Linked DNA regions of Nothobranchius furzeri. The protein of the gene in region 2 purifies or fractionates together with the protein of the main gene of each other region. This does not show direct contact. Links are inferred from orthologs where the notes say so. Each region holds a gene or a part of one and is shown on either strand. Other genes may lie near its edges. The genes, in order: upf2 and casc3.

Region 1 (15,262 bases), on a different chromosome or scaffold from region 2:
ATGCTAAAGTAGGGCTGCTCGATTATGTTAAAAACAATAATCACGATTATTGTGACTGAAATTGAGATCTCGATTATTTAAGACGATTTTTCAATTTATGTTGATTTTTATTTTTTTATTTTGATTCAGTCATAAAATTGCTCAGGGCACAATCAGGACAAAAATAAATAAGAAAAAATATGATCACTAAAATAACTCCTGATTCCCAGTATAAAAAGACCAATATACTTATACCTCATAGTTTATGACCCACGGGCTGTAGACCTTGGTTTAACTCATTCAAGTCTAACCAGTACAGACCCAAACACCAATATCTTGCAAATACTGACAGCAAGAATTATACAGTGGCATTTATAACAAATAAATGCAAATAAATTGATGTTCACAAAATGTTACATAACATTTACTGAGTCGTGTCAAGGTGCTGTAGGAGCGTGCACTAGCACCGTGTCCTCAGAGAGGTTAGTTATTATTTATCAGCGTGAGGAAATTATTTCTACCTTATTTATAAACTATTTATTTACAAGTCCATCAGTTAATGTAATAATTGTCCCAACCACAGCTGCACCCCCCACCCCCCAACCCGGTCTCACAGCAATTGGGGCAAGCTGCACGTGTGTTTAGCACGCCGCACATTTAGCCGTTTTTAGCGGCTCAGGAGCCCGCAGGTGCGGTGTGTGTGTCACTCACTCTGGTTAATCCAACAAGGAGCCGGCTCCGAGAGCCATTTCTGTAGCGACCGACACATCACTACATCATTCCCTTTCCTAATGTCCTGAAGAACGGTCCGGAGCGCAGGCGGAGTGTTTAGCTAACCTGCAGGAAATGTCGACGACAGTTATCCAGAAAGTAGCTAAGGGTTACCAGAGATGTTTCTGAGGTGTTCGCTAGGTACTTTTAAGATTTAAAAAGTCAAGAAGGTGATCTGAGAAGCTGCTAGAAATAGCGTCAAAGTCGACAAGTTGGCAACATTGTGAGGAGCGCTTCATTTGCTACTCAAGGCAGCGCAAGTGGGAGGAGCAAATAATCGGCTTGTTTTGTTTTTATGATCGTTCAACACATTTCATTCGGAATATATTTCTATGTCGATGTTCAGAATACGACATCTGATAGTCTGAAAAAAATAATACCTAATTTGGAAAAAATAATACCTCTGAGACCAAATTTAACACTTTTAATGGCCTTAAATTTGACTATTTTTATTTATCACTTTTTAATACTTTTTAAAACCCCGCGGACACCCTGCTTTACCTAGTTTGACGAGCACCTCCCTCTCCAGGTCGGTGACCTGCTTGGTGGCCTCCTCCATGGAGCAGCTGAGCCTCATCTTGGGCCTGAGGAGCTCCAGCGTGTCACTGATCATATAGTCGATGTCAATGGGGAATGGGTGGTCCTTGGTCCAAATATCCAGGCTCTTCTTCCACCAGATGTACCTCTGCACACACACACACACACACAAAACAACGTTTCACTGATTCTGTAAACTCTCATGGTAAAGCCGAGAGACGACGAGCTTCATGGATCAGACATACCTGGAAGTAGACGAGGAAACAGTCCAGCTTCTTCTTGCTGGAGCCGCGATCAAAGTACTGGCCACAGGTATCGAGCAGGGTGCAGACCAGGCGGATCCGGAACAGGTGCTCCGGAGGATCCAGAAGGCTGGGGCTTCCGTCCTGGTTCACCCCGAAGTAGATGAAAGAGAAGAGGGTGCGGAATATGACCGCGGACTCCACCATGCGGTAGTTGTAGAGCTCGCCCAGGAACTTGGCGCTGCTGATGCGCCGCTGGTTAAACTTTGGCTGGTTGACCTGGAACCGACAGACAGGCGGTCATCAGATAAACGACCAAACAACAAAAGCTTTAAATAAATGTCCCGAAGAACCTGTGATGTTAGAGATGATGTCATCTTCCAGAGTTGATCAAAACAACCTAAATCCATCATTTCTCAGCATCAGACTAAGATATTTATCATTTTCATCATTAGTTTTTACGCATTTCAGAGTTTAAATATTAAAGATCCTAGTCAGAAACACTGGACTAGATTCTAACGCATGCAGGTGAATCTTTGTGCATTTGTGGAAAAATTAACGGCTCCATTTGAACTCGTAGAGCTTGAAAACGATCCTGCAACACGCCGCTGATTTCAGGTCTAACAGCAGTGGCGCCACACGCTACACACACACACACACACACACACACACACACACACACACACACACACACACACACACAAAGTATGTTTTCCTTTCCTCTCACTGGGCAGGACGTGCTGCACGCTCTGCATGCTGGAGCTGAACTTCACCTCTGCAGATGGTTTCTGGACCCAACGTAAGGATCAGAAAGTGTTTGAAGCTGTTTTCCTGTTTATAAAACAAGAAACAACAACAAACTACCGCTAAACGACGGACGTTCTATAGTCCTAGATTATTAAAATTAGGAGATTACAGCGAACGATTTAGAAATCCTTTATCGGACTCTTCTGATCTCAGGTGCTTCCACACCTCCAGCAGAAGACGAGGCTCCGTGTTTACGATGGGAGTGAGCCGCAGGAGGGACGGTTCAAGCAGGTAGATGACACAGTTCTTAGAAAATGTGCACAAAGCAGAACTGTGTGTGCACCGGTTTGATCAGCCGATCTGCTGCCAGCACATTCCAGCTCGAGCTCGGGTTTTAAAGGTCCCGTTGGAGAAAATCATAAACCTTTAAAATAAAGTCAGTCTGGTGAAGGTCAGAAGTTTGTCCAGCTGGGTTTTTACCTCCATGCCAAGCCGGATGTCCTCCAGCACACCGTCCACCACGTGGATGCCCACGTCCTCCTGGTAGGCCACCAGGCCAGCCAGCAGGTTGGCCACACAGTGGATGCTGTTGTACTTGACGTTCCAGATGTTGATCATGCAACAGATCAGGTAGCTTTTCCCCTCCGGATCCTGCCAGGGCAGCTTCCTCATCTGCCTGAGAACCTTCTCTGTGGTCACCTTGGACAGGTCCTTGTAGAGTAGCTTCCTGATGTACTCCTGCAAGGGCGGCCGCCTCTTCTTCACCGTCTTCTCTATTGGCGGCGGGTTGCAGTAGTAGTAGGCGTTCTCCACCATGGTCACATAGCGGGCGTCCAGATGCTGCGCCTGCTTTTTACGCATCATTTGTTCCTGGAGAGCAGAAAGAAGTAGATGTGAGCGTTACGGACGGAGGTTCATCTGGTAAACCGGTCTCCTGTGCGCTGCGTAAAAATCCTGATGCTCGTTTTGTCAGATTTCAGGAGGGTTTAAAGTGTTTCTGAATCAACTACGTCACAGACTTCTTGAAGGTCTTTGGCTGCTTTTCTTCACATTTTAAAAACACACGAGTGAAGATCAGAATTCTGCTTTTTAACCTCCTGGAGCTTCTCTCTGATGTGACGTTTGGTTCCGCCAACCAGTTTGGGAAGCTAAGGTCTCACCATCAGCTAAAATGATGGTAAATGGCCTGTATTTGTATAGCGCCTTCTTGGGGTTCTACAACCCCCCAAGGCGCTTCACGACACATTCGGTCATTCACACGCTGGTGAGGATGAGCTACGACGTAGCCACAGCTGCCCTGGGGGACAAAAACAGGGGCGAGGCCACCGGTCCCTCTGACCACCACCAGCAGGCAAGGCGGGTTAAGTGTCTTGCCCAAGGACACAACAGCAGTATTCTCTGGTCAGAGCTGGGATCAAACCTGCAACCTTCAGATTACTGGACAACCTGCTCCACCTCCTGAGCTGCTATCCCAGCAAAAATGAAGATTTTACTTCTGTTTGCTGTAAAGCCGGGCGTACACTGTGCGACTTTTTCACTTTTTTGAGCCGATTTTCCACTCGTGCGAGAATCCACGACATCGGGGCGAGTTTTGCGCCGAGCGGTCGTGTAGTGTACAGGGGGTTACGAGAGGCCATTAACACCGCGTGACCAGCTGCCGATCAGCAGTCGTGAGGTCGCACGGACTTCTGGCGTGTTTAAAATTTCGCTCGTCCCTCGTGAGGGTATCGCACTGTTGAAGCGGCGCTGCGAGCAGCTGCGACCCAAAAAGTATCAGAACCGCTCACGGCGCATGCGCAATCCTGCATCAACGCCGCTCCCCGCTATTTCCCTAATAACACACGCTGTTCATTTTACTTTCTACACGTTTTTTTACTCACAAAGATTGTCAAGAAAGCGTGTTTGTCGTGTTCATGTTAAATTAAACTGATCACAAAACACAGATTTACTTTCTTTATTTCGTTTTCCTCATCCAACCCCCATAAATCCCCGTGTGTCCTCCTGCAGCACTCCCGAAGGACAACAGGCAAAACAAGACAAAAAAGTGTTGTGTAAAAACTGCTATTTTTAGCATATTTTAGGGCCGACGTGTTGCTACCAGACGTACAGTGTGAGCAGTCAGGTCGCATGCGAGAACTGGGTCGTACAATGTGAGCACATGACTCGTGAGATCTGCCCTACGAGGAAGTCGTACAGTTTGAGCTGAAGCTGAACGCTGCGAGTGAAAAAGTCGCACAGTGTCCGCCCGGCTTAAGAGGATGAGGACGATTCGTACTGACCAGCAGGACGCTCGTACGCAGGTGAGAGTCTTGTGATCTAAACAGGAAGTGGCCGCAGGTCTCCAGGAGCGTGCACGCCATCTCGATGTGGTGATGAGTGAAATCAGACAGCAGCATCTGCAAAAACACACACACACTCATCTCACATCTCTGTTGGTTGAGAACCACGACAGCTCGGGTGTGAGCTGCTCTTGTCCAGCTTCTCTGGACGTTTAACACAAACCAATAAGTCAAAATCAAGAAGAAAACCACCTTGAGACAATGCAGCGTGTCCGTCTTAGAGAACATCTTGAACTTGGCCAGCTCCCCGATGAATCGGACCGTTTTATTTTTCGTCTCGATGTTGATCTGGTCCTTCTTTCGAATCTAAAAACACAAATTCAATTTCTTCACGACGCCCTCGTGAGAAAACCACCACATGACGAACCGACCAAACAAAATATTTTATTTGAGGCATTTAAGTTCCTTTTAAGTGAATCTGATTAGTGTCTGAACTGCTTTTATTAAACTACGGTACAACTAAAAGGACCCACGTGGAACCTGAAATCTCCCTTCAGCATGGAGCACAGATCCTCGGCCACGTCCGACATGCAGGGATGCAGCGTTGCCACCAGGCGAGAGTAAAACGGCAGGAGGTCCAACCTGCAAGACGAGTCACCAACCTTCAAAACAAAACTCCAGATGACAGCACCTCTTTGTGGCGCCTTAAGGTATCAAAACGACACCTGATAGTCTGCACAAAACCTTCCGTTTTTCTTTTCTGGTTTCATTCATTGTTCAGAGAGCATCTGGTACCTCTGCCTGGGGACGGTGAACAGCGCGCGGACCAGTTTCCTCCGGTTAGATTTGGTGTTCATGTTCATGCAGAAGTCCATGGCAGCCTGAAAAAGTCCAAAATGTAAATAAAAATATGATAAAATTACAGGTGTGAACTTCTCTGTAAGTTGTTTACGTTACAGGCTGAAGCAGAGGTTTACGAAGGACTTTTAGGATCAATGAGAAGAAAAAACAAAAACAACAGGAAGATTCAAAAACAACGTCTGAATCCTGTTTCCAGGACCTGGCTGTATTTATTAGTATTACTGTACCCAAAAGATGATTTTATAAATTAAACTTCACAACTTATTAAGCATTCGATTGCAGAGAAGCAAAGAACTTCCTCTAAACAGGGTATCTGCAGGTTTAACTCGTTCACCGCCGATGACGACTAAAGTCGTCATTTGCATTTTTTTTACTGTGTGGGCGTCGGACGAGCCCCCGCACCGTGAGAAAAAACATCTCAGCTCTGAAGCCGATCTTCATCCGCGTACGTCACACGTCACGTGATCAGGAAGCAGAACATCCATGTGTTAGGAGATCGTTTTGGGCCGCTGCTGTAAAAAAAGTGAGGCGCGAACCGGAAAAGCTTCTGCCGATCACAATTCAACAACGGATTATGAAAGAACGGATAACGCTCGAAACGTGTGGATTCTTCCTGATGTAAGAGGTGAGTCTCCGCTTTGTTTTGGTTGTTTTGGCGTCGACATCATCCTAGCGCGCAACGTTCTGCGTCTCTTAAACAAAAAGTAAAAACGGGAAGAAACGCTGGAAGCGACGGGTTTTACTGATCAAGAAACGCTGGCAGCGAATGAGTTAAGGGAGCCAAATTTAAGACTTTTTAAGACCTTTTTCTGGGCCACACTAACTAGAAATTCACTAAAATTTCACAGAAATAAAAGAATCTTGTTTAGTGGGTCTTTGGTCATTTAAAACCTTTGGAAACTGTATTTAACGATTATTTGTAATTTTTAAGGATTTTTAAGGCCTTTGGAAACGCTAATTTAAGACTTTTTAAGGACCCCCGAATACCCTGTCTAAACCTTCAAAATAAAAGTCTCAACCAGACAAGTGCTTCAAAACTCCTAACGCTTATAAAAACGTTTAATTATATCATAATAATCGTGTTCTCAGATAAAACTCCTTACTTTAAGGTGTACACATCTGTTTGAGACTCTTATTGTGAAAGTCTGGAAGAAGTTCTGCAGTGGATGCTGCTGCAGGAGCTTTTAGAGATGACTCTAGAAACACTCAGGAGCAGCAAACAGTCGGGTTCAGGAGAACAACGGGTTCACGTCCTGCTTCTAGCTTGTTTCTGGATGTTTTCTGATCATTTTTAATAAACACAGACGCCCTGCTGGTCAAGATCAGACAGAAGCAGGGCTGGAACGTTTGTTTATTTTTCATCACCTTGTCTATGAGATCCCGGTTGACACAGTTGGGGAGCTGCTGGATGAAAGCATCCACAATCAGCTTCAAGTGTGACCCCGTGCTCGCCTCCTCATCTTCTTGCTCTGCTCAAATAAACAATAAGAATCAAGTAAACATGATAAAAAACAAGAGTGGAGGTTAGGTCTCACAATCCTTCATCAGATTACTTCCCTCCTGGTGGTGGAATGTGGTAATCTGAAAACTCAGGCGTCTTAAATCTTAAATTTGTAAAATCGAACCAACGTTCTAAAGCAGGTCTGCAGATAAGACCTCATATCACACACATCACGATGAACATCAGTAGATTTATGAGTAAATGTGTGATTTTAACAGGATTTTACTGCGGGATGGGGCTCACCTTGTTCATCCAGCAGCTTTTTGGCCAGTTCTTCATTCTCCACCTCCTCTGCTCCTTCCAGCTCTAGAGGCTCATCTGTGATGTCGAGATTTTCCAACTCCAGCTCCAGTTCCTCTGTGGTGCTGGCCACTTCCTTTCCCTCTTGACCATCTGACAACAACCACTCAATAGTCAGAATAAAGTCCCTTTCTTTAATCACCTTTAGAAGAATAAAACGTACCTTTAGAGTCATCTCTGTCTTTGCTCTGGCTGCTCTTCTCATTGTCCTTGAAGAGGATTGCAGGGATGAAAGCCTTCAGGTCCACCAGGTTCTCGTAAAAGTTCTTAGCGTCTTCGTCCTCCCAGATTCCTCCTTCCAGTTCGTAATCTCCGGGTTTACCGGGGGTGAAGATGTCGATGCCAGGACCGTGCTCTGAGAGGACAAACAGCATGTTGGACAAGTTCGGCTCTATGTGGAGACTAGGGTTGTCACGGTGTGAAAATGTAACATCACGGTTATTGTGACCAAAATTATCACGGTTTTCGGTATTATTGCGGTATTTTTTTAAACGTGTTAAATTTTCACACAACTAAATAAACCCTGTATATCAGGAAAATATTGTCCTCGGTTTGTGTCTAAATTTAGCCTAAAATGTGTTATTTTGTAATGATTTTGTTTATTTGTTTACATATTTCCCCTTTAGTCTTTAAAATACCAATATTTACCCATAACTTCTTATTTTATGTCTGTTTGATGTCATCATTTTAAATATATTAGATCAGATGATACTCAGTACTCAAGTAGCCTTCTAATCAGATACTTTTTTACCCTTACTTGAGTAATAAACCCTATATCAGGAGAATATTGTCCTCGGTTTGTGTCCTTCCAGTGAGCTTTGCAGATGTGGGAAAATGTCATCAGGCAGTAATCGTTGTTAAATTCATAATTATTCTCGGAGAGAGACCAACTCTTATCTGCCCCTGGGAGCCCCGTAATGCATAGCGTCATTTCAACATGGCGGTGTCCGCGACACGGTTTATATGCAGGTAGCGGCGCTGCGGCTGCTTTATATAGCGACTCGTTGCATTCTCCCTCAACCCAAATCCTCGGATCACGCATTTTAGCTAAAATGCTAACGTTAGCTTGCCTTGCGTTGACTGTAGAGTTGTGGGTGATGGTCACGCAGATGTGTCATGAGATTTGAAGCGTTGCTGCCTTTCACAGACACTTTTTCTGCACGTGCTGCAAACAGGATAGCCGTCTTCTATCAACTGTCCCTCGGCATTCTTCAGATATCCAAAAGATGCCCGTACTTCCCACTTTGTCTTCTTTGAGGGATAATAAATGTCATGGGCACTGCCGTCTCCTCCTTTGGCCATTATTTCAGCTTTAGCTTCAAGAAAGTTTTGGTTGTAAACAACAAAGCGCGCATGTGCCGCCGGCAACTTCAGCAGATGATACGGTGGCTGGTAAGGGTCACCGTGCCTACACCGCAGCCACGGTAATCCACCGAGATAATATATGTTTTAAAAAAACAAGACGGTTATTATTATTGTCAACTTTTTTACCGGGGTTTACCGCTACACCGGTTACCGTGACAACCCTAATATGGAATTCATTTTCATTGGAACTCTTTCAGACACACCTTCCTGAACCGTCTTGTCCTGCGGCAACTCTGGCATGTTTTCATCCAGCAGGTCGGCCAGCGTCTGAGTGTTGGCCAGCAGCTTCTGGTAGGACGTGGCAAACTCCTCGTACTGTTTGTGTCGGTCTTCACTCAGCTCACCTTTGGAATGTAATATACGCCTGAAAAACCAAAAAAGAAGGTTTCGGTTCATTCAGAGAAAAGAACCTAAAACAACACCCCAGAAGCCATCTGACCGGTTCTGCCTCTCAATGTTCTGCAGCTCTCGGTGGTCCTTCTTCAGATGTTTGGTGAGGGACGTGAAGTACTCCCTCAGGAGGTTCTGGAACGGCTGCTGCTTCTCCACGCTGATTATTTCGCTAGGAGGGAAGGTCAAGCCGAACTTCTCAGCTGCCAGCTTCACCTTTCTAGGGACCAGACCGGCAATGTCGTCGCCACAGTGCTTGCAGAAGCTGATCACCACCGAGACGTGCGTGTGTGTCTCCCGGTCCGTTCCAATGATGCTCTTCAGTTGCTCATAAATGAGCGACAGGCCTTCTTTGTCTGTGAAGAGGCCGACGATGGTGAGCTCCGCGATGAATCGCAGGTCTGTGCGCAGTTTGCTCACGTTGGGCGCCTTGTCCTCCTTCCTCGCCTCGAAATGCTTCTTCCACGCCTGAAGCAGTAACGGAGCGAACTCGGCGTAGCGCTGGTGGAACAGGGAGCACAGATGGACCGCGCAGCCAACGTCAGAGATCTTCAGCTTGGCCTCCACAACGGAGCTGACGGCCTCACCGATGTACTTGCTGAGGTTGAGGGACGCAAAGTCATTGGAGAGCGTGTCTCGCTGCTGTTCGGTAAGCGTGCGCAGCTTCTTCACAAAGGCCGTGTTCTTTTTCAGGCTGGAGTCCAGCCGGCAGAAGAAGGCCTCCTCGGGCCGACTCTCGTGGGCGTTCTGGTTCTTACAGCGCAGCTCCTTCCTCGACTGATGGCGCTCCCAAGCTTCTTGGTGCAGCTGATGACCTTCGTCCTTTTCTCTGTGAGGATGAAGAGAACACGCGAGACAGAAAGTAAAAATAAGAGTAAAATCATCATTTATAAACAGACAAAAGCAAAAACAACAACAACAGCATGTTATTTTTGTGTCATAATGACTCTGAAGAAGAAAATCAGTCATGGGTGAAATGAATTTCACCAGTGTGTGATGACTAATGGGACCCTGACTGTGAGTGCACACCTCCAGGACATTGAGGAGTGCAGGTTGAGTAACAGCTGATCCGTGTCACCCTGGACAGTCTTTTGGACTCGCGCCCATCTGGAGGGAGGTTCAGATCCATTCGGACCAGAAGCTCTCGCCACAAGAACAGTTTCTTCCCCTCTGCAGTTGGACTCATGAACGACAATCCTAGGGCTGCCCACTCCAGTCGCTTGTTTCAGTCACATGACCCGGTGTTGTGTTTTTACCTGAACTGTTCCGTTCTGATTAGTACCTACACAGTAGCCATCTATCTAATTATTACCACTTTATATTATCATCTCATAATGATTATAATCTTACTTCCTATATTTGCTTACTCCTTATTTTTAACTTTCATTTTTACACCAAGTACCGCAGCAATCTGCTAATGTTGTAATTTCTCGCACATATGGCAATAAAACCTTCTGATTCCGATTAAAGTATGAAGCTTCATACCAGAGTTGTTCACTTACTTGAGGAGAGCCGCCTCCTCCTCACGCTGTCGTTTAGCCTCCTCCTCTTGAAGTTTTCTCTCCTGCTCCTCATGCTGCCTCTTCTCCTCCTCCTCCTTCATCTTCTGCTCCTGCTCTGCTTTCTGTTTCTCCTCCTCCTTCTTCTTTTTCTCCTTTTCTTCTTTCTTCTTCTTTTCCTCCTCTAGGCGCTTTTTCTTCTCCTCCTTGTTGCAGTCTTTTTTACCACTTGCTTTAGCCTCGTCTTTGACTTTGTCACGGGCCAACGGCGGCCTCCTCTCTGCCTCCCTGTCCTCCTTTTCTGTGCTGCTGAAGGAGCCGACGTCTTTCTCATCCATGTTTACTGATCGCTTGCTTTCAGCAGGCATGCTGAGGACAAATTAGAAAAAGAGTAATTTCAGGTAGTTTAAAAATACTTTGTTGATCACATATGTGAGTAAATATTAACGTCCTGTAACTGACTCCATTAAATAAAATAGGAAAACACAAAAATAACCTTCCTAGAAGAGCCTTTGTTCAATATTAAATCAATGTTTGCAGCCTAGATGATAAACATTAGTAAAAGTTTTTAAAATAAGTTTTGCCCATTTTTGCAACTGCCAAGATTTTAAGGCATTAAAATAAGACAAATAAACATAAAGTTATTAAAAAAAAAGGAAAAAGAAATAAAAACCTGCCTGTAACCTTATAAGCCCAATACTTTTATCTGCTAAGTGTTTCTTGGTCCAAAAGGGTATGTAGCATGTAAGGATGCATCTGCAGCATATTTTTACAAATTGTGTGCAAGTTCTTATGGTTGATTACTTTCTAAAACGAGAAAGTGTCAGTGGAAATTAATAAACACAAGTGACAGGTGTCACAATTAGTTCAAGTTTGGTATAACAGAGAAAAAAAAGCCAAAATGTTGCCCCTTTTCTGAAACCAGACAATAACAGGATCCATCAGCTGTTGTCTTCACTGCACTATAAAAAATTAATTTTCATTGAATCTGATTTGTTAACAGTGTAGAAAGTTTGGAAAAACTCCAGAAATATTTCAATCACTTGAAATATAAAAAAAGATTAAAATACAATTCAGTGTTTCTGTTTGTTTAAAGAGCAAGTCACCCCGAAATAAACTTTATTTTCTGATAAACTATATAAATGCGTGACTAATCGTGCTGCAGACACGTGTAGTCAATAGTTTTGCACTTTAGTGCATTTTAGTTCAAATTTTAATCTTCTGCCTAAAACGGTCAGTGTTGTGCCGTTGTCAGGTAAAATTTCTGCACTGCATTTGAATTTAAATCTGCCATCGCTATTGGCTAAGAGGTACCTTAGAACATTAGCTGGTACCATATGATGTCACAATGTTGTTGTGAGCCTGTGTGTGTGTGTGTGTGTGTTTGTTAGCGGCTCTGCCCTCTCGGTCTGCTAGGCAACAGCATTTTTCAAACAGGATGTGGGAGCGGAGTTAATACTCTGGTAGGGAATGACTTGCCCTTTAATTTAGACTTGATGCAAAATAATTATGTGAAATGTGAAACACTGAAACCAAACTTCTCAAGAAAGTGACTCCTAATCTGGGAAAATAACGATTTGTTAGATTAATAAACGCCCGTGTTGCCTGCCATTTCATGTTTTGTCCCTAGTATCAGATAATTGTGTGGTTACTCGTGTGTTGCAGAAATACACATATTAGATATACAAGCATCACGAGCAACCGCTGAATTACGTCATAGGTTTATAGAAAATATTTCATAACGCAGTAAAGCAAGTTTTCACGACGTTTGTGGCTCCTAAAACTACAGAAACCACAATCTATAAATCTTTTAAATTACATATCTATCACTGAAAGTCTGTCACCTTTATTTTTTGCAATGCACAAATAAAAATCTAACAGCTGATGGATTTGGGGACTGATAATTTAATATTTTTGGACATGGCAAACGTCTAAGCGTAACTTCCTCCATTCGCATCGTGACCATAGGTTAGCGTCGTCCTTAGCTTTACGTGTTTGTCATAAAAATATTAACTCTCTCAAGAGTTAACGAGGTGACTCACAACTGCGCTTCGACTAAAAGGCATTTTAACCAACTTTAACGTTAACATTTTTCACAATTACCATACACATACATAAACAACAAAACATGAACTAGCATTAGCGATAGCTAATGAATTGATGAAAACGATGTTAACAAACGTTTAGCTACCGATACTACGTGCACTTAGCGGTTCCGATATTATTTGTAAGATAATGAATAAAACAAAGAGAAAATAAATAACATTTACAATCATCTTGCGGCAGAATGGAAAAATCTTACCTACAAATGACACCAAAACAAACATCGGTAAACAATTTCCCTGTAAACTGAAACAGGACCCTTTCCGATTGGTCTCCCAAGATTTGCCTTACTGAAAATACAACAAAAAATCAAAAACCAACATTTAAGCCGGTTGAAATTACCGGTAATGCTGTACACAAGCATTAGTGTAGTGTGTGAATAGAGGAGAGATATTTTAGCACACTCCATTATTTTATTTAACCGGCAATCCAGGCAGCTGCTTATCATTTAACAGCGGAGCTGTTGGCGGGAGGAAGCAACGTTTAACTCACTCATTCACATATTTATGTTTATACCACATTAATTCTATATTTTTTACATCTTATCCACAAACATAATTTAATATTTTGTTTCTTTACACAATCGGTTGTTTTTTCCTTCCACAATTCTGCTGCTGCATTCGCAGCAACATCTTGGTGTAAAAATGTTGCTAAATGTAATTAAAATACAACACATAAAACTGAAGGTTTACTTACGCCGTTTATTCACCACCATTACACTTTTCAAAAAAAAAAAATTGCCAAACCCTTCTGACTGATCATCAGACTGACCGCCAGCTGGATCAAGGTGAAGGTTCAGGTCCTTCACAGAGATATAAAACACATCTGAAATGTTGTAAATGATGAAAAATTCTAACAATTAAGTTCAGAAACTTTTTTTTGTCAAAACAGATTGTTACAGCAGCAATAAGTGAAACTACACACATCCAGAAAATGAAATGTTTCAGACTTTAAACAATTTAAACGACTTTAAACAACAACCCAACAACAGCCAACATTCTTACTATGAAATCAGTTCATTCATGAAGCAGAGATAAACTCATCCAACAGCTTTGAGTAACATTATTAAAATAACTTGTTTTGGTGCTTTCTTCATAAATCTGAACTTTGGGAAGGCGGAGATAAATAATGCGCTAGATGTGTCGTCGAATAAATACAACATAACTTCAGTGTAAAGGACACAAAAACAAGCTTGAATGTGGACTGCGTAAACCCTTCATTCCAGGCACTTCTGATAAGATGCATGTTTAGGTCAGACAAGACAGGATGTCTAGGGGGAAAAGTAAAACCAAGAAAAACGAGGAAAGTGGAAAAATAAAGTCTAGTTGTGTTTTATTTAGTGCTGAAATGTTTCTAATTCAGGGAGGGTTGATGATGACAAAAGAAAACAAAACAAAAATTACTCTAATTTTCAGATTGCCTAGCTCACTACATTAGCATTTTCTTGTCAAAGTAATAAAGTGATTGTTCAGATCTGTGGATGTTGTGGGAGAAGCTGGTCAGATCTGCAGTTAGCCCGTTGAATAAACTCACCTTATATTTGCAAAGAGCTCCTGCAGTTAACACTTCCTACGCAGCCCAGAGAACTTTCTGCTGAAATATGATCATCGTACCAGCTGGAATAACTTTGTAATGCAGAGCTGAGAGCAATGTAGAGGTTAATAAAACACCAACAGTCGTTTTAGGGCGACGGTGGCACAGGGAGTTAAGTGTTCGCCCCGTAATCAGAAGGTTGCAGGTTCGAGCCCCACTCAGTCAGTCGCTGTCGTTGTGTCCTTGGGCAAGACACTTAACCCACGTTGCCTGCTGGTGGTGATCAGAAGGACCGGTGGCGCCAGTGCTCGGCAGCTTCGCCTGTCAGTGCGCCCAACGGCAGCTGTGGCTACATTGTAGCTCATCACCATCAGTGTGTGAATGAGTGAATGACTGAGTGTGTTGTAAAGCACCTTGGGGGGTTCCAGGACTCTAGAATGTGCTATATCAAATCCAGGCCATTTACCATTTAGAATGACCAGCTCAGTGTCCCAGTGGTAGAGTGTCCGCCCCTAGTCTGGGAGATCGGGGTTCGATTCCTGGTCGGGTCATTCCAAAGACGTAGAAAAAATGGGACTCACTACCTTCCTGCTTGACACACAGCATTAAGGCGTTGGATTTGGGGGGTCAAACCACCATCATCAAGTTCTGATTTTGTTTGCTAATCGAAACCGAACACCATAACACTTTATAAAGCTAAGCTTCATTCTTTTATTCTGAAGGCCAAGTCTGTCTCCAGCAGTTAACGGCTTTTGAAAGCCTGTCGAACACATAAAGGTGTTGCCGTCTGCTTGTTTGCAATAGAAATGAACAACTCAGTGACTCTCCTGTCCTGCTATATGTAGAAAAAAGGTGATGGAAACTGAGCTGATGAGTTTGTTGGGCTGGATTCAGGATTCATAAACACTGCATTTCATTTTACCATCCGATGAAGTCCAGCTGTGTGCGAAACGAGCCTCAGTTCCCTTTCAGACGTTAAGATCAGAGTTTCTGAAGAGTAAAACCATAATTAAACTCTGAACACAGAACTCTGCACAGCGGATTCAGGCTGGTCAGCCTACGGTCTCTGAGCGAGGCGGCTCTTCCCCTCCTCCTGTTCCACCAGCTTGAAGTGAGTGTAGGACAGGATTCCTGCCAGGGTGCAAAGGATCCCCA
Region 2 (15,871 bases):
TATCCAAAGCGACTTACAATTTATAACCTATAAGGCATGTTGTGAACTGTGGGGGAAACCGGAGTACCCGAAGGAAACCCACGCATGCATGGGGAGAACACGCAACTCCACGCAGAAAGGCCACAGCCGAGTTTCAAACCTGCGACCTCCGTGCTGCGAGGCAACAGTGCTAACCACTGCGCCACCATGCAGCCCCATTTATTTAGAAGTTTTAGTTCTGGACAGTCCAATGTTTAATTGCTGTATTCTAAAGGGTGTACTTGCATAATTATGATATATTAACATTACATACATGGTTATTTTGGTCTCAATAATGTAGACAATATTGTTTATAGTCTATAATTTGTTGTTTGAATAATGTGTCCTACACTTTACATTAATGCATGATGGGTTAAAATGAATATTTAGTTTTCCTGTAATAATTTATTTCAGATCTTAAATTACACCAGATTAGTATTTGTTGATTTTAAGAATTTAATTGATCAACATAGTCACACCTCTAATATTATTAATATTTAACATTTGTGCTTCCCATAATCTGTTTAACGTTGTCACTTCACACTAAGAAATTACCTCTCTAAGTATCTGAGGGATCTCCTGAGGTATTTTTGGTAACACCTTTTAAACTTGTCAAATTATGATTTGTACAAATTTGTCAACAACAATTAATAAAAATAGAGATCACTTCCTGGGCTAGTCAGTTCTCTGCCGCCTCCCGGTTCAGGCCGGGTGAGCAAGCATTTGGAACCACCCTCTCTTCTGACTCAAACTCAAAGCCTCTCTGCAACACTTGCAAGTGTACCAGATGCTAAATAGATACGCCAGATTCCTGCCGTCACCTGGAAGGTACCTCAGAGCAGACGGGTCGTGCTCGGAGTTGAACTATGGGTTCCATTACCCTGAGGTCCACTCTACCGGCAGTGTCTATACCGACCTCTTGACCCCCTGAATCACACGAGGGCCTTCAACACAAAGGGTTCGTAGATCCGCACAATGGCGTAGGATGAGTTTACAAATAATCTCTAGCTTATTAAACCATACAGTCAAACTGATTTTACAACCCAAACATCACAATTATTTCTCAGATACTTAATAAGGTTTTGCTACAAACATCTAGCTTACATTCCATAATTTTGTTCATTGTCTGTTATCTTGTACAACCATCCTTTCATTCATAATTTGTCATGTATAATCATTAGTTTAGAAATATATTATTGTGGAATAATATATTAATTTGTATAAACTATATACTTGACTGTCTGAATTAACATGAAGTGTGTGCTCCCTGAATAGTCCAAAGAACCTAAGGTAATATTAAATCAAATATTCAAAGACCAATCAGATTGATAACTCATACTTATATGGAATATTACATCATAATTACCATTTCAAAAATATGAAGCAACAATCCACCATGCTACAAGCAACACAGCTCATGTTCACTTTTGTTTAGCTTATTAACAGGGTATATACAGCAATCCTTAAGTAAAATTTACTACTTTTTAATACCTTTTTTACTACCTTCAGAATTTTTTTAAAACCATCACAACACTAAATTGCAAGTGTTAATCAGCGACCTATTTACACATATTTTAACATATATAACATACAAAAAGAATAGACTTAGAGACTCACTGATGTTGACAACGTATTGCGCATATTTATTTTACTTAGAAAATAAGCCAGGCACTTCTGTTCAGCGGTTCAGACAGTTGACCACGAGGCCTGAAATGATGCAGAACCACTGAATATGACGTCATCATTATGTGACCGGATATGCTAAAGCAGGGCTGCTCGATTATGGCAAAAACAATAATCACGATTATTGTGACTGAAATTGAGATCTCGATTATTTAAGACGATTTTTCAATTTATGTTGATTTTTTTTTTTTATTCAGTCATAAAACTGCTCAGGGCACAATCAGGGCAAAAATAAACAAGAAACAAGATGATCACTAAAGGAACTCCTGATTCCCAGTATAAAAAGACCAATATACTCATAGCTCATAGTTTATAACCCAAGGGCTGTAGACCTTGGTTTAACTCATTTAAGTCTAACCAGTACAGACCCAAATACCAATATCTTGCAAATACTGACAGCAAGAATTATACAGTGGCATTTATAACAAATAAATGCAAATAAATTGATGTTCACAAAATGTTGCATAACATTTATTTAGCCATGTCAATGTGCTGTAGGAGCATGCACTAGCACCGTGTCCTCAGAGAGATTAGTTATTAGTTATCAGCGTGAGGATTGAGGAACTTATTTCTACCTTATTTATAAACTATTTATTTACAGGTCCATCAGTTAATGTAATAATTGTCCCAACCACAGCTGCACCCCCCACCCCCACTCACAGCAATCGGGGCAAGCTGCATGTGTGTTTAGCACGCCGCATGCGCACATTTAGCTGTTTTTAGTTGCTCAGGAGCCTGCGGGTACAGTGTGTGTCACTCACTCTGGTTACTCCAACAGGGAGCCGACTCTGAGAGCCGTTTCTTTAGCGACCGACACATCACTACATCATTCCCTTTCCTAATGTCCTGAAGAACGGTCCGGAGCGCAGGCGGAGTGTTTAGCTAACCTGCAGCAGGAAATGTCGACGACAGTTATCCAGAAAGTAGCTAAGGGTTACCAGAGATGTTTCTGAGGTGTTCGCTAGGTACTTTTAAGATTTAAAAAGTCAAGAAGGGGGTCTGAAAAGCTGCTAGAAATAGCATCAAAGTTGCTAAGTTGGCAACGGAGCGCTTCATTTGTAACAGGGCAGCTCAAGTGGGAGGAGCAAATAATCAGCTTGTTTTATTTTTATAATCGTTCAAAACATTTCATTCGGAATATATTTCTATGTCGATGTTCAGAATACGACATCTGATAGTCTGAAAAAAATAATACCTAACTTGGAAAAAATAATACCTCTGAGACCAAATTTAACACTTTTAATGGCCTTAAATTTGACTATTTTTATTTATCACTTTTTAATACTTTTTAAAACCCCGCGGACACCCTGATTGAGGAGGCAACCACTGACTTTCTTAAGCGTCTTTAACACTGCCCACATGCCCAGGAGCCCACATGCCCGGGAATTTCCGCATTTCTGAGAAGTCCTTGGAAACTATACGAGAACAAAAGCCCCCTGTACGAGCCCGAACTGACACAGCCATACTGATACAGATGTGAAAGTGGTTTAAGTCAACCTACAATAGGTTTCCGTTAGACCTGCACAGCGGCACTCACCTGGGTCTACGCTGTCTGTACGCTCGGTCTCCAGAACCGCCACCATTCCGGATGTCATAACCGTAAATAGCAATGAGTTCCTCACGGCTCTTTGGAGCCTGCTCCTCCTCCCTGAACTTGTCGTGTTCCCAGCGGCCCTCGTCCTTCCACAGCTTCCTATTTCGCCCTTTGGGTCTGAAAGAAGAGATTTTGTTAGACCCGGTCTCCAAAGAGCCGATATAGGACCAGTACCAGATAAGCTCACCTCTCTTCCTCCTGAGTGTGGCCGCGGACATCATGCTCAAAAAACAGTCCCTTCCTTGGGATGTAGGCAGGGTTCTTCCTGTCTTCATCATCATCAAGCTGCTGACCTGGTTTCCCTCCAGCCTTTGTCTCTGGACCATTGGTGGACTCCTGCAAAAGTTTTTACCATAACTCTGCTTCAACATGAAATAACATTACCAAAGTTCACACATTCTTATAACGGATAGCTCCAGGTTTGACAGTGAAATGTAATACCTTTTGATGACTGTTAAGATTCAATGCTGGGTTCGCAGCTGGAAAAACAAATATAAACTTGCAATAGAATTAAAAAAAATATATATATATATATACACATATCTACCTATCTATCTATATCTCTATCTCTATATCTATTTATATCTATGTATAACTATCTCTCTCTCTCTCTCTCTCTCTCTCTATATATATATATATATATATATATGTATGTATAGGGGAGCTGAAACAACTAATCTATAATCAATTATTGGAAAAGTTGACAACTTATTTAGTCTTCGACTAGTTGTTTTATAATCACGTTTTATTGTAAGTCTTCTATTTTTAAGACAAGCTGTTAAATTTGCAGCCAGTGTGTGGCAGTAATGAGTCACTGATCTAACAGTGGAGCAGCAGAAGAAGCATCAGCCAATAGGCACCCTTGATTTTCATGACGTACCACACACATGGCTGACGCGCATGCTCACACTGAGGAATATGAAACGGTACAGGAGAAAAACAGAAACCATAAAAGTGAAGAAAAAACCAGAACAAAAACATCTAAAGTATGGGAACACTTTACTCTAGATGCCGTGAAAAGACGGGTGACCTGCAAGATATGCAAAAACGATCTAGCATGGCACGGAAATACAATTTCTCTAAATGAACATCTGAGACCAAAACATTTCGGAGTTGATGCAGCAGAAGAGCCAGCCCGGTAAGAAACTTACACCTAATGAGAGAATATACATGCAGTGGTTCCTCACTATAACGCAGATCACTGTTTGTGACTTTGCCGTTTCACTGAGCTTGTTATAGTACAATTTTACACCAGGGTTTCCCCCAGCGCTTTGCTTGGCGGGCCGCCAGACTAAGCATCATGCTCCACCCCCCTCCCTGACTGTGTCCACTGACACGAATGGCGCAATGAAACTAGAGCCCTCCATCAGCTGATACTGGTGAGAAACAGCAGCGGAACATGTGCAACCACCCCACCCCTGCTCTCACGGAGGAGCACTAATAAAACCACTTTGACTGTATTCATTTTTTTAGTTAGCCGTTGTCTCCTGGTAACACTTAGCGTAATGCCGTCTAAAGTGGATTTTCTGAGTCCTGCTAGATGGACACAGTATCAGACAGATTCCTGTATCGGGCCATCTATAATTCTGTAGATTCCAGTTCTTTAGAGAAAAGATGGAATTGGCCAAGTTTAACTCATTCACTGCCATTTGCATTTTTTTACTGTGTGGGCATAGGAACGAGTCCCCACACCGCGAGAACAAACATCTCAGCTCTAAAGCCAATCTTCATCTGCATACGGCACACATCAAGTGACCAGGAAGCAGAAAATCCATGTGTTAGGAGGTCCTTTTGGGCCACTGCTGTAAAACAAATAAATAAATAAATAAAAAATAAAAAAAGTGTGGCGCGAACCAGAAAAGCTTCTGCAGATCACAATTCAATAACGGATTATGAAAGAACAGATAAAGCTCGAAACGCACGGATTCTTCCTGCTGTAAGAGGTATCATCATCCTAGTGCGCAATGCTCTGTGACTCTTAAAAAAACAGTAAAAATGGCACACAAAAAAAAAACCGCTGGCAGGGAAGGGCTTTATCGGTCAGGAAACAGCTGGCAGCGAATGAGTTAATATCAGCTGCTCAAAGCTGTACAAATATCAGAAATATGTATAATTACACAAAATTTACATAGGTCCATTTTTTTATTTATTGTGCAGAAATTTATCAGAATTTAACCAAATGATAACCACCTCTTAAAACTTCCCATTATGTCAAATGAAGCTCAGACTAGCTCTGGAACAGAGCAGCTGAGCCAAATGAACATGGACAAAAAGACAACAAAGAGCTAAAAAGCTGTTTATGCATCAGAACCTGCTGACCAGATCCATCTGGATTTCCTGAGTCTCACCTGTCCATCACCACTCTGCCTCTCTCCTGTGAGGTTTTCCTTGTCCTCCCCCTTGGGCTCCTCCTTACTGTGTCCTTCTGCTTCCTCCTCAGCCTTCTCTTCCTCTTCCACCTCCTCCGGTTTTGGGTCGACAGCAACTGAAGGTTTGGGCTCACTGGTTGCTGCTGGAGCTTCCTCTTCACTGTAACCCTCCTCTTCCTCCTCTACCCCCTGGAAAAAGAATTTTTCAGAAACATCTCTTCTTCAGTTTGGTCTTTGAATTGGCATCCTTAGGTTGTTGTGCCAGATCTTTGACCAATCTGAACGTCTTTTCAATCCTACAGTCAAAAACAGACTCAGTTCTTGTCTGAGGGAAGGAAACTGGGAGTTGTGTTAGGCTGGATTTACCTCTGAATGGGAGCGGTTTTCCTCCGGATCAGCACTGTCATAATCTGAGAGGACAGCTGAACAAAACAGAGCCAGAGTCATAAAATCAGGAATCACCAACAACAAATCTAACGTGGAGCTGGATAACCAGGAGAGGCTCTTACCTTCTCCGGCTCCATCTTCACTCTCCTGCAATGACAAACAGGATCAAAATGACAACGTGAAGAATCTGGCTGCCTTTAGGTGTCAGGATAGACTCTTTCCTGGTGAAGGGGATGCTAGGTTCCTCATAATTTTACAGTGACATATGTGATGTCTGACTTGTAATCATTTTAATTATGAATTTTAACAAGCTAATAAATCTTAAATTACCTGACAGTTGAAAGAAACTCAAATCATTTTTAATTAACTCCAAGTACAACATACAAGTTATTCAGGGCTTACTGCAAAGCAGATTAGAACATAGCTTTTAAAGCCCCGTTCACTTGCATTCTTTTTTTATTTGTTCCAGGGACCCATGGACCAAACGAACAAGTAGGAGACTTTGGCTCCTTATTACTGTTGGCTCAAATACAAACACAGATGACAATAATGGAAAATATTTTTTAATCAGGACACTAGTTCATTTAACAAAGAGCGAGAAGTGTTCTCGTTAGCACGTTTTACTTGATGGTAAAAATCTTCTTTAGTTGAGACCTGGGTATCAAAACATGTTTATCCCCAATACATTTTGAAGTGATAATGTCCTCACGAACAATTATTTAGAAATCAACCCCTAAATAATTCATTTGACACATTTTATCTTAATGTAACCAAGTGTAATGCAGATGAACAAGTAAGGCCTGTAGCTAAAGGGTGGTACCCCAATGACATAAAATGTAGTGGACACTGAGGCCTTGAGACATGTCAAGCCCTCAGTCCCCTGATGGGTGAGGGTCAATGACTGCCTGGGTGAAGCTACTCAGTCATGGGAATCCAGCCTCGCGCATCTTCTGAATCAGAGTATTCTGATTTGTGATTACGAGATTTTATCTATGTCGTAACGCCCCTTAGTGCAACTGGGGCTAATCTGTGATTAATCAGAACTAACAGGGTCTTTAGATGTAATGGAACCACCACGGGTCTGAAGTCCAGCGTGGAGCCGCAGACTCAGGCGAATATCAGGGTGACTTTTAGCTCTTGGTTCGGCAGAAGAATCCACTTGGACCTCAGGTAACCATCCTCTATTCTCCAGTAACGGTTCTGAGAGACTGTTGGGACTGAGCCGGTGTTATGTCACATTTTGTTCCCGAGTAAATGTGGTTCAACTGCCACCTTTTCGTCTCAGATCATCGAACTACGAATGAACGACAAAACCCATCTCCTTACTGATGAACTAGTTAATCACCCACAGTCACGTCGAACCTAATGGTACCTCTAGAGAGCCTTAAGGTTTTTCTGGAAGCGGAATAAGTCAGAACTTTTAGCCCGAATTCCAAGCTTTGTGATGGACGGACCAACGTTAGCTGCTGGAGTTAGCCTGAGTAGCTACTCACACACTCGGACTCCACGTCGCTCTTCGCCTCGGTCCGGCTCTCTGTCACCTCCACTGGTTCGGGATCTCGACCTCGAGCCTTTGTCACGGGAGAACCCGACCTTCCGCTGTCCGAACCAGAACCGGACTCGTCGTCCTCGCTGTCCTGAGACGCGCGCCTCCTCCTTCGCCGCCGGTCCGCCATCTTAGGACTGGAATGGTTAGTAACGGAAAAAGCAACGCATTATGGGTAATGGTGTTCTTTTGGAGAGCAAATTCTCCCAGCTCTTTGATGTCTACTGCCGCCCTCTGGAAATGATTAGTACAACAACGATGTAATAACTATTTTAATTTGAACGTGTACGTGAATAAACTAAAGCAATTTTTACACATATTAGCCGTTACAAAAAAGTATGAATAATCTGGAACACCTGCACGTTAAATCAACAATGTAACCTACAAAAAACTGCTGGGAATCAAATTGTTGCCCTCATTTTCTAAGAAGATGCCAACTAGAGAACGTCCAAAGATCGGAAGTAAGTTGAAAAACTGAAATAGTGGCGTGTGTGTGTGTGTGTGTGTGTGGGGGGGGGGGGGGGGGGGGGGTCGTCTTTATGGTAAGTATGCTAAAAATATGTATAAAACTACAGGCTAGAAGGGGCTCTTTTATGCAATGTCAGGAATGCAGAACTGTCAATTAACATGTGCTCTGAAGTCACGTGGCTCTGATGCTCATTAATTATTCAGAATTTTAAGCATTAAATTACACTTTAAACAGAAGAGTGACAAAAAATCACCCCCTCAGAGTTGTCATGAATGTAAACTAGATCTATTAAACCTAAAGTGATTTTTTTAACCAGGCTGTAAACATGTTTTTTTTTTCTGCTGTGAAAATGGCATTTTTAACATGGGAGTCAATGAGGATTTGCTCACTTCTGGTAGAAGCCCCTTGGCCTGGCCTGCCAGACTCTTCCTCTGTTTAATTATGCACAGAGAGAGGGTGAAGAAAAGGCCAGGGGTCTCATTTATCAAACGTTGCGTAGAATCCTTACTAAAACCGTAAGCTCAGCAAAAAAAAAATGTACTTACGCCAAGTAGGTTTATGATCTATCAAACATGGAGTACGCACAGCTACACGCAATCTCCGCTTCATAAATTGGAGAATAATGAGAATGTTTCTCAGCTGCATTTTAGTCACATCCCGCCCTCACCACGCCCACTTACTGCCATAAATAGTCAATGCAAAGTGCCTTGTGAATCTTATGCATATACATAAGCCAGCTGTTGCAGCATTTCGATCACGACTGCAGATCAAGGAAGCGCTCTTTCACAAGCAGAAATTCAGGTACCTGTGGGTGAGGTGGAGAAATGAAAGGAAGTGCTTTTGTAAAACAAGAGAAAATTCACTCAGTGGCACAGCGTTGCTGAAGCCGTCAATGCTGAGTTCTTCAGAGAGATCTGTGGCGGATATTAAAAAAATGATCCGATCAGGATTCAATCCCCAGACTCCCGGATGAAAGTCATGCGTGCTAACCAGTCAGCCAAACAGAGATCTTCCTTGTACAAGTAGCCAGGGCGCATGATCAATCGGGTCACAGTGACAGGACACTTACATTGTCACTTACGCATGACATTCTGTATCAATCTGTCACCTTGCTAATTTTCTGCATTCCGTATTTTGCGCATCAGACTGTGTGTGTGCGCGCCAGGTGCACGCGCATGTGTGTGGGAGGTCTTGTTCCGTGTGAAAACGAAGCAGTACAAGGGATAATGCTCCAAGGCAGCTGTGGCTACATTGTAGCTCATCCCCACCAGCATGTAAATGTGTGTGTAAATGTGTGTGTGAATGAGTGTGTGAATTGGGGCATGACTGATTATGTTGTGAAGCGCCTTGGAGGGTTGTTGAACCGAGGCATTATACAAAAACAGGCCATTTGGGCAATATGCTTCACCTACCTTGCCTCCTGGATAGTCTGAGGGACCGTAGGCACCTATCAGGTCGTAACCTCAATTCTTTCAGCGAACCCCAGAATAGCTGTGGCTATTTATCTCAATCTGTGTGAATGTGTATGCGTGTGCTTTGGCGTCCTCTGGCTTAGATAGGTGCTATGCAAGAGCAGGCCATTTACCATATGTTTCACGGGTCAAAGAAGAGTCAGACCCCAGAAAATCCAGCTGACCTTGACCCATTTCATCGTCAATTGATCTCATTGTGGTTGACTCATTTCAGATTCAGACTTTTAAAACTAAACATGATTTATTTTATTGTTTTGCACAGACTCTCATCTCTCAAAACAGAAATCAAACATCACTAAATTAAACATTGCTAAATAACCAATCAGTTGGTTGGCTTTATCTGACTCCAGCAGAATAAATAAACAGAACTTCAACAGTTTGGTTCTGACAAAACTTGTAATGAATACATCTCATCATCAAACAGGTTTAAAAAGTAAAACTTTATGAGTTCATCATCATTAAAGTGGCATCTCTCAGTCAGCATTCATAACATAAATCATCCCTCTGAAATTTACTGAGAAATTCTCTTCAAGATGCTGAATGTAAGAATTAGTTTATTCACATGTTACAGAGTCTGTAAGTCCTACGACCGTTTCCTCCTCAAGGTGTTTCACCTGACGCTCATCAGAGACGATCTTTTTCTCAGGGAGAAGAGGCATCAAAATAGATTTCAGTCTCAAACAGGAAATGTACTCTTCTTCAGGCATCATGTGCAGAAGGTCAAAATTTAGCACCTCACTGCAACACAGAGGTCAAAGGTCAAACTGTTAATGAATGTAAAAGCAGCGTGACTAAACACCTTGAGTATAAAAAAAATGAAAGAAAGAAAACAAGGTCTAAGTGGAAGAATCGTGAAAAATTGAAAACAAAAACCAAAAAATATATTTTAAATTTTTTTGTTATTTATTGAAAGAAAATTATTTAATTTGTATAAAAGAATGAATAATGAAAAATAAATAAGTTAAATATTTTTTTTAATAATGGACCCATTCAAACTAAGTCTAATTAAAGAAGCTGATCAGTATCAACTGAGTTGGGTCCATGGAGCTGAGCATCAGTTAATTTAAAGCTGGTCTATTCGGTTCTGGGCCCAGGTGATTCAACCACTGAATCAAGTGTGTTGGAGCAGAGAAACCACTAAAACATGCTGGATACTGGCACTTTACTGGCCTGGTATTGAATAGCCCCAGTTTGTGGAATAGAGTAATACTTTATTCATCTCAGTGAGAAATTTACTTAATATGAACTCACCATGCAGCTGTGTCCAGGGGCAAAGGTCACAGCTTTCATCACTCTGTCCTGAGATCCACTGCTGCTGCCGCTCACTGAACTCTTCCTCATGATGCCTTCAAATCACAGGAACACAAGCATGTCCACACACGCACGCACGCACGCACACACACACACACAGTGAGTATGAGACAGTTATGTGATGTTGGTTTGCCGACTGCAGTGCATCTCCTTACTTGTAGGGCGCGATGGGTCCGATATCTGCGAGCTGGTTTTAGGGGTGTAGCTTCCAGTCTTTGACAAACGGCGATGGCGGTGGTTCAATATGGTCGCTGGAGACATTACACCAGGGGGTGGAACTTTACCTTTCTTCCGATACAGCTCCTCCATTTCTCGCTTTTGACTCACCTGCAGCTTCTGCACCTGCACCAGGTGTCTATTTAAGAGAGGCCTTGGTTAGAGATACTTGTGTGAGAGTAAGGCTGTGAAATGTTTATATTTTCTGGACAGACAAGAAGGCTGCAGGAGGCAACTGTAATGGGACTTGGTTAAACTTGTTTTAGCAGTTTCACTGAGAAACCGTTTTTACTTGTTATTTTTATTGGCCACTCTGAGTTTCACATGCAGGCCAAATGTGAAAATAGTTTTCTGCCTCTATTTCCTGCATAAGTCGTCGATAGAAAATCGACAGGGAAACGCTCGGATTAGAAAAGCAACAAAGATCTACGTCCCACTCATGAACTCCACCATTTTGTCTTGCGATGGGGAAGGCTGTATTTGTTTAGTGTTCAGGAGAGAGCAGAGCATGTCTTGGCTAGTAGAAGCTAACTGTTAGCATTAGCAACTACACAAAATGGCAGAACACCTTCAGGCTTGTGGTATTTGTTGAGATAAAACATCAACATTGCAAAGAGAACAGATTAAGTGGTGGAGTCACAGTGCAGTTAGCCAATCAGAGGTGAGTTGTCAAAATATCAGGAAATAATAATACTCCAAGTCCTGATGTCTTCTGCTCCCCTCTGCTTCAACTAACTCCTACTTCCCGAAACATGAGCATGAGAGCTTTTTTTCCCAAGGAGATTGTCTCACAAGACATTCATTTATACTAGAGACCACTGCAAAAGTATAGAAAAAGTGAGTGAACTTGGTCTCTAAATGATCAGCCCGAAATTCACAACAGGGTGAAACTCAACCACCAATAAAATGAAAATCAAAACAACCAACAAAATGTCATACGCGCCGGTGGACGAAGCGGAGACAAGGTGAGGATCCAACGCGGGTGAGACAAACAGGCAGGCAAATAGGAATGATGAACATAGATTTATTAAGCACGCTGACACTGGAACAATGAGGCAACAAGAGACAAAGAACTGGAGGGGTTTAAATACAGGAGGGCTGGGTGCTTGGGTGATTGGGAAACAAGAGGCAGGTGGGAGCAATCAACAGGGACACAGGCTGAACCAAACGGGGAGACAGGACAGGGTGTGAGAGTGCCCCCCCTCAAAGGGCGGATCCCAGACGCCCACAGGAACAAGGAGCAGGGTGGGAGGAGGGGGACCCGGAGGGAGGGCCCAGAGGAACCGAGGGACCGATGGAGAGGCGGCAGGGACCAGCAGAGTCCGGGAGCCTGCGCCTGGGACAGAGGAGGAGGCGACGGGCCCTTGGAGACCGGCGCCTGCGGCAGATGAGGAGGCGACGGGCCCTTGGAGGCCAGCGCCTGCGGCAGATGAGGAGGCGACGGGCCCTTGGAGGCCGGCGCCTGTGGCAGATGAGGGTCTCTGCAGGCTGGGCCGGGGACATAGTCTCTGCAGGCTGGGCCGGGGACATAGTCTCTGCAGGCTGGGCCGGGGACATAGTCCCTTGGACGGGCTGGACCAGAGCGACCTTCAGAACCACCATTGGAACCGGAGACGGTGGAGACGTCGGACCAGAGAGAGCATCGACCTCTAGAGTGGAGAGAGCGTCAACTTCTAGAGTGGAGAGAGCGTCAACTTCTAGAGTGGAGAGAGCGTCGACCTCTAGAGTGGAGAGAGCGTCGACCTCTAGAGTGGAGAGAGCGTCGACCTCTAGAGTGGAAAGAGCGTCGACCTCTAGAGTGGAGAGAGCGTCGACCTCTAGAGTGGATAAGGCGACTTCAGACGAGACGACTTCAGAGGTGACTTCAGACGAGACGACTTCAGACGAGACGACTTCAGACGAGACGACTTCAGAGACGACTTCAGAGGCGACTTCAGACAAGGCGACTTCAGAGGCGACTTCAGACGAGGCGACTTCAGAGGTGACTTCAGACGAGGCGACTTCAGAGGCAACTTCAGGCGAGGCAACTTCAGACGAGACGACTTCAGAGGCGACTTCAGACGAGACGACTTCAGACGAGACGACTTCAGAGGCGACTTCAGACGAGACGACTTCAGAGGCGACTTCAGAAGAGACGAGACTGCTTCAGACGAGGCGACTTCAGACGAGAAGACTTCAGACGAGACGACTTCAGAGGCGACTTCAAACGAGACGACTTCAGAGGCGACTTCAGACGAGACGACTTCAGACGAGACGACTTCAGAGGCGACTTCAGACGAGACGACTTCAGAGGCGACTTCAGAAGAGACGAGACGGCTTCAGACGAGGCGACTTCAGACGAGATGACTTCAGACGAGACGACTTCAGAGGCGACTTCAGAGGCGACTTCAGACGAGACGAGACGACTTCAGACGGGGCGACTTCAGACGAGACGACTTCAGATGAGGCAACTTCAGACGAGGCGACTTCAGACGAGGCGACTTCAGACGAGACGACTTCAGACGAGATGACTTCAGACGAGACGACTTCAGAGGCGACTTCAGACGAGACGACTTCAGACGAGACGACTTCAGACGAGGCGACTTCAGACGAGACGACTTCAGAGGCGACTTCAGACGAGACGACTTCAGAGGCGACTTCAGATGAGACGACTTCAGAGGCGACTTCAGACGAGACGACTTCAGAGACGACTTCAGACGAGGCGACTTCAGACAAGACGACTTCAGACACGTCGACTTCAGAGGAGATGACCTCAGACACGTCGACTTCAGAGGAGACGACTTCGGACACATCGACTTCAGAGGAGACGACTTCGGACACGTCAACTTCAGAGGAGACGACTTCAGACACGTCAACTTCAGAACACGAGGGAGCGTCGACTTCAGAACACGAGGGAGCGTCAACTTCAGAACAGGAAGGGGCGTCGACTTCAGAACACGAGGGAGCATCGACTTCAGACTTGGAAGGGGCGTCGACTTCAGAACAGGAAGGGGCGTCGACTTCAGAACAGGAAGAGGCGCCGACCACCATCTACTTCTGGTCCGGGGGCGTCGGCTTCTGGTCCGGGGGCGTCGGCTTCTGGTCGGGGGGCGTCGACTTCTGGTCCTTCGATTTCTGGACCGTCGACCTCTGGACCGCCGGCCTCTGGACCGGAACCGGAACCGTCTGCTTCTGGTCCGGGGGTGTCTGCTTCTGGCCTGGGGGAGTCGGCCTCTGGTCCGGGGGAGTCGGCTTCTGGTCCGGGGGAGTCGGCTTCTGGTCCGTCGACTTTTGGACCGCCGACTTTTGGACCATCGGCCTCTGGACCGGAACCGTCTGCTTCTGGTCCGGGGGAGTCGGCTTCTGGACCCTCGACTTCTGGACCGCCGACTTCTGGGCCGCCGACTTTTGGACCGGATCCGGTACCGTCTGCTTCCGGGCCGGTCCCCTCTGCTTCTGGGCCTGATCCGTCAGCTTCTGGGCTGGTTCCGTCAGCCGATGGGACCGGTGACGGGACGGTTGGCCTAGCCGGGGGCAGGTCCAAGGCGCTGCATCGGGCAGGGGCAGCGGCGAGTCCGCAGCTCTGCCCCGGGACACAGGGCTGCGGTGGAGCTCGGCGTTCTTCTCCACGCCGCGGACCAACTCCGGGGGAACAGACCGCCAGTCTTCTGCCCACGAAACTGGAGCGATCTGGCAGCAGCTCCCGGTCCAAACAAGCCTCCGGTTCCGGGAGGACAGGGAGGAACGCCGCGGCCGAAGGTCGGCGATGGCGTCTTCGGCGAGGCGAAGCATGGGGGGGGGGGAGGCCGGCCAGTGATCAGACGAGAGGAACCGGAGCAGGCACTCCCAAGGCAGAATCTCCCAGCTGGATCCATCAACGGGTTCGGGTGGACGAAGCGGAGACAAGGTGAGGATCCAAAGCAGGTGAGACAAACAGGCAGGCAAATAGGAATGATGAACATAGATTTATTAAGCACGCTGACACTGGAACAATGAGGCAACAAGAGACAAAGAACTGGAGGGGTTTAAATACAGGAGGGCTGGGTGCTTGGGTGATTGGGAAACAAGAGGCAGGTGGGAGCAATCAACAGGGACACAGGCTGAACCAAACGGGGAGACAGGACAGGGTGTGACACAAAACAAAACAAACAATAGCATGGCTAGCACTCTTGCCTTAGTGGAAGAAGGTTGCAGATTCAAAACCCAGCTGTGGGTCCAGAGTCCAACTCTTGGTCCCCTTCCTGGGAGGGCCGGGGACAACAAACCTGTTTGTCCCCCTCTATTGACAGGCGTGGCCTTGAGTACACTTACCAACAGTGGCTGAGAAGTGTGATCCCCTGTAGATAAAAGACTCTCTCTGGTCCTAGTTTTTGAAAATTTAGACCACCTTGTCAGACTGCCACTCAACCGGTGTTGTTCCAGCTCTCCAAGTGACATGGAGAGGCATGTCCATCATGAGAGCCAAACAATACCCAGAGCCTTTGGTATTTTAGTGCAAGTCTCATCCACCCCTGGCACCTGGCACTCTGCCATTCTGGAGCTTTTAGACTACCTTGATGGCCTCTTCCAATGTGACAGTGTTAACTCTACAGACGCTGCCTCCTCAGGGGAGGACATGATAAAGGGATTGAGGAGTATTTGATCCACCACCCAACGATATCCCCAATACAAATCAGCAGTTCTCCCATTATTCAACCCATAAACTGCATTGAACAAGTCCTGCATTTCGCTGCAAGTCTGCTTCCTCAAGTCCAATAGAAAATCCTTCATGATCTTATCAAATTCTTCCATTGCCAAAGTTGTTGCTCCTGTAATCACTGAATTGGG

What was found.
Region 1: the proteins of casc3 (region 2) and upf2 fractionate together in Homo sapiens (co-fractionation; 3 studies listed by BioGRID and IntAct). This does not show direct contact. The link is inferred for Nothobranchius furzeri from reciprocal best matches to the Homo sapiens genes CASC3 and UPF2.

Annotation. Positions count from the first base shown.
Region 1 is NC_091741.1:38,106,137-38,121,398, reverse strand, and holds the start of upf2 (regulator of nonsense transcripts 2), read right to left. Parts: upstream 12,869-15,262; 5' UTR 12,774-12,868; intron 10,841-12,773; 5' UTR 10,840-10,840; coding exon 10,475-10,839; intron 9,802-10,474; coding exon 9,022-9,801; intron 8,947-9,021; coding exon 8,786-8,946; intron 7,573-8,785; coding exon 7,381-7,572; intron 7,311-7,380; coding exon 7,161-7,310; intron 6,886-7,160; coding exon 6,782-6,885; intron 5,437-6,781; coding exon 5,351-5,436; intron 5,198-5,350; coding exon 5,089-5,197; intron 4,922-5,088; coding exon 4,808-4,921; intron 4,673-4,807; coding exon 4,556-4,672; intron 3,147-4,555; coding exon 2,757-3,146; intron 1,809-2,756; coding exon 1,533-1,808; intron 1,436-1,532; coding exon 1,252-1,435; intron 1-1,251. Other genes in the region: slc35e3 (solute carrier family 35 member E3), read right to left, coding at 15,076-15,097, 15,169-15,262. UniProt on the Homo sapiens protein: Involved in nonsense-mediated decay (NMD) of mRNAs containing premature stop codons by associating with the nuclear exon junction complex (EJC).
Region 2 is NC_091746.1:33,204,512-33,220,382, forward strand, and holds the start of casc3 (protein CASC3), read right to left. Parts: upstream 7,771-15,871; 5' UTR 7,728-7,770; coding exon 7,545-7,727; intron 6,199-7,544; coding exon 6,174-6,198; intron 6,087-6,173; coding exon 6,031-6,086; intron 5,854-6,030; coding exon 5,644-5,853; intron 3,632-5,643; coding exon 3,483-3,631; intron 3,413-3,482; coding exon 3,239-3,412; intron 1-3,238. Other genes in the region: serine/threonine-protein kinase WNK4, read right to left, coding at 10,274-10,276, 10,790-10,884, 11,005-11,204. UniProt on the Homo sapiens protein: Required for pre-mRNA splicing as component of the spliceosome. Core component of the splicing-dependent multiprotein exon junction complex (EJC) deposited at splice junctions on mRNAs.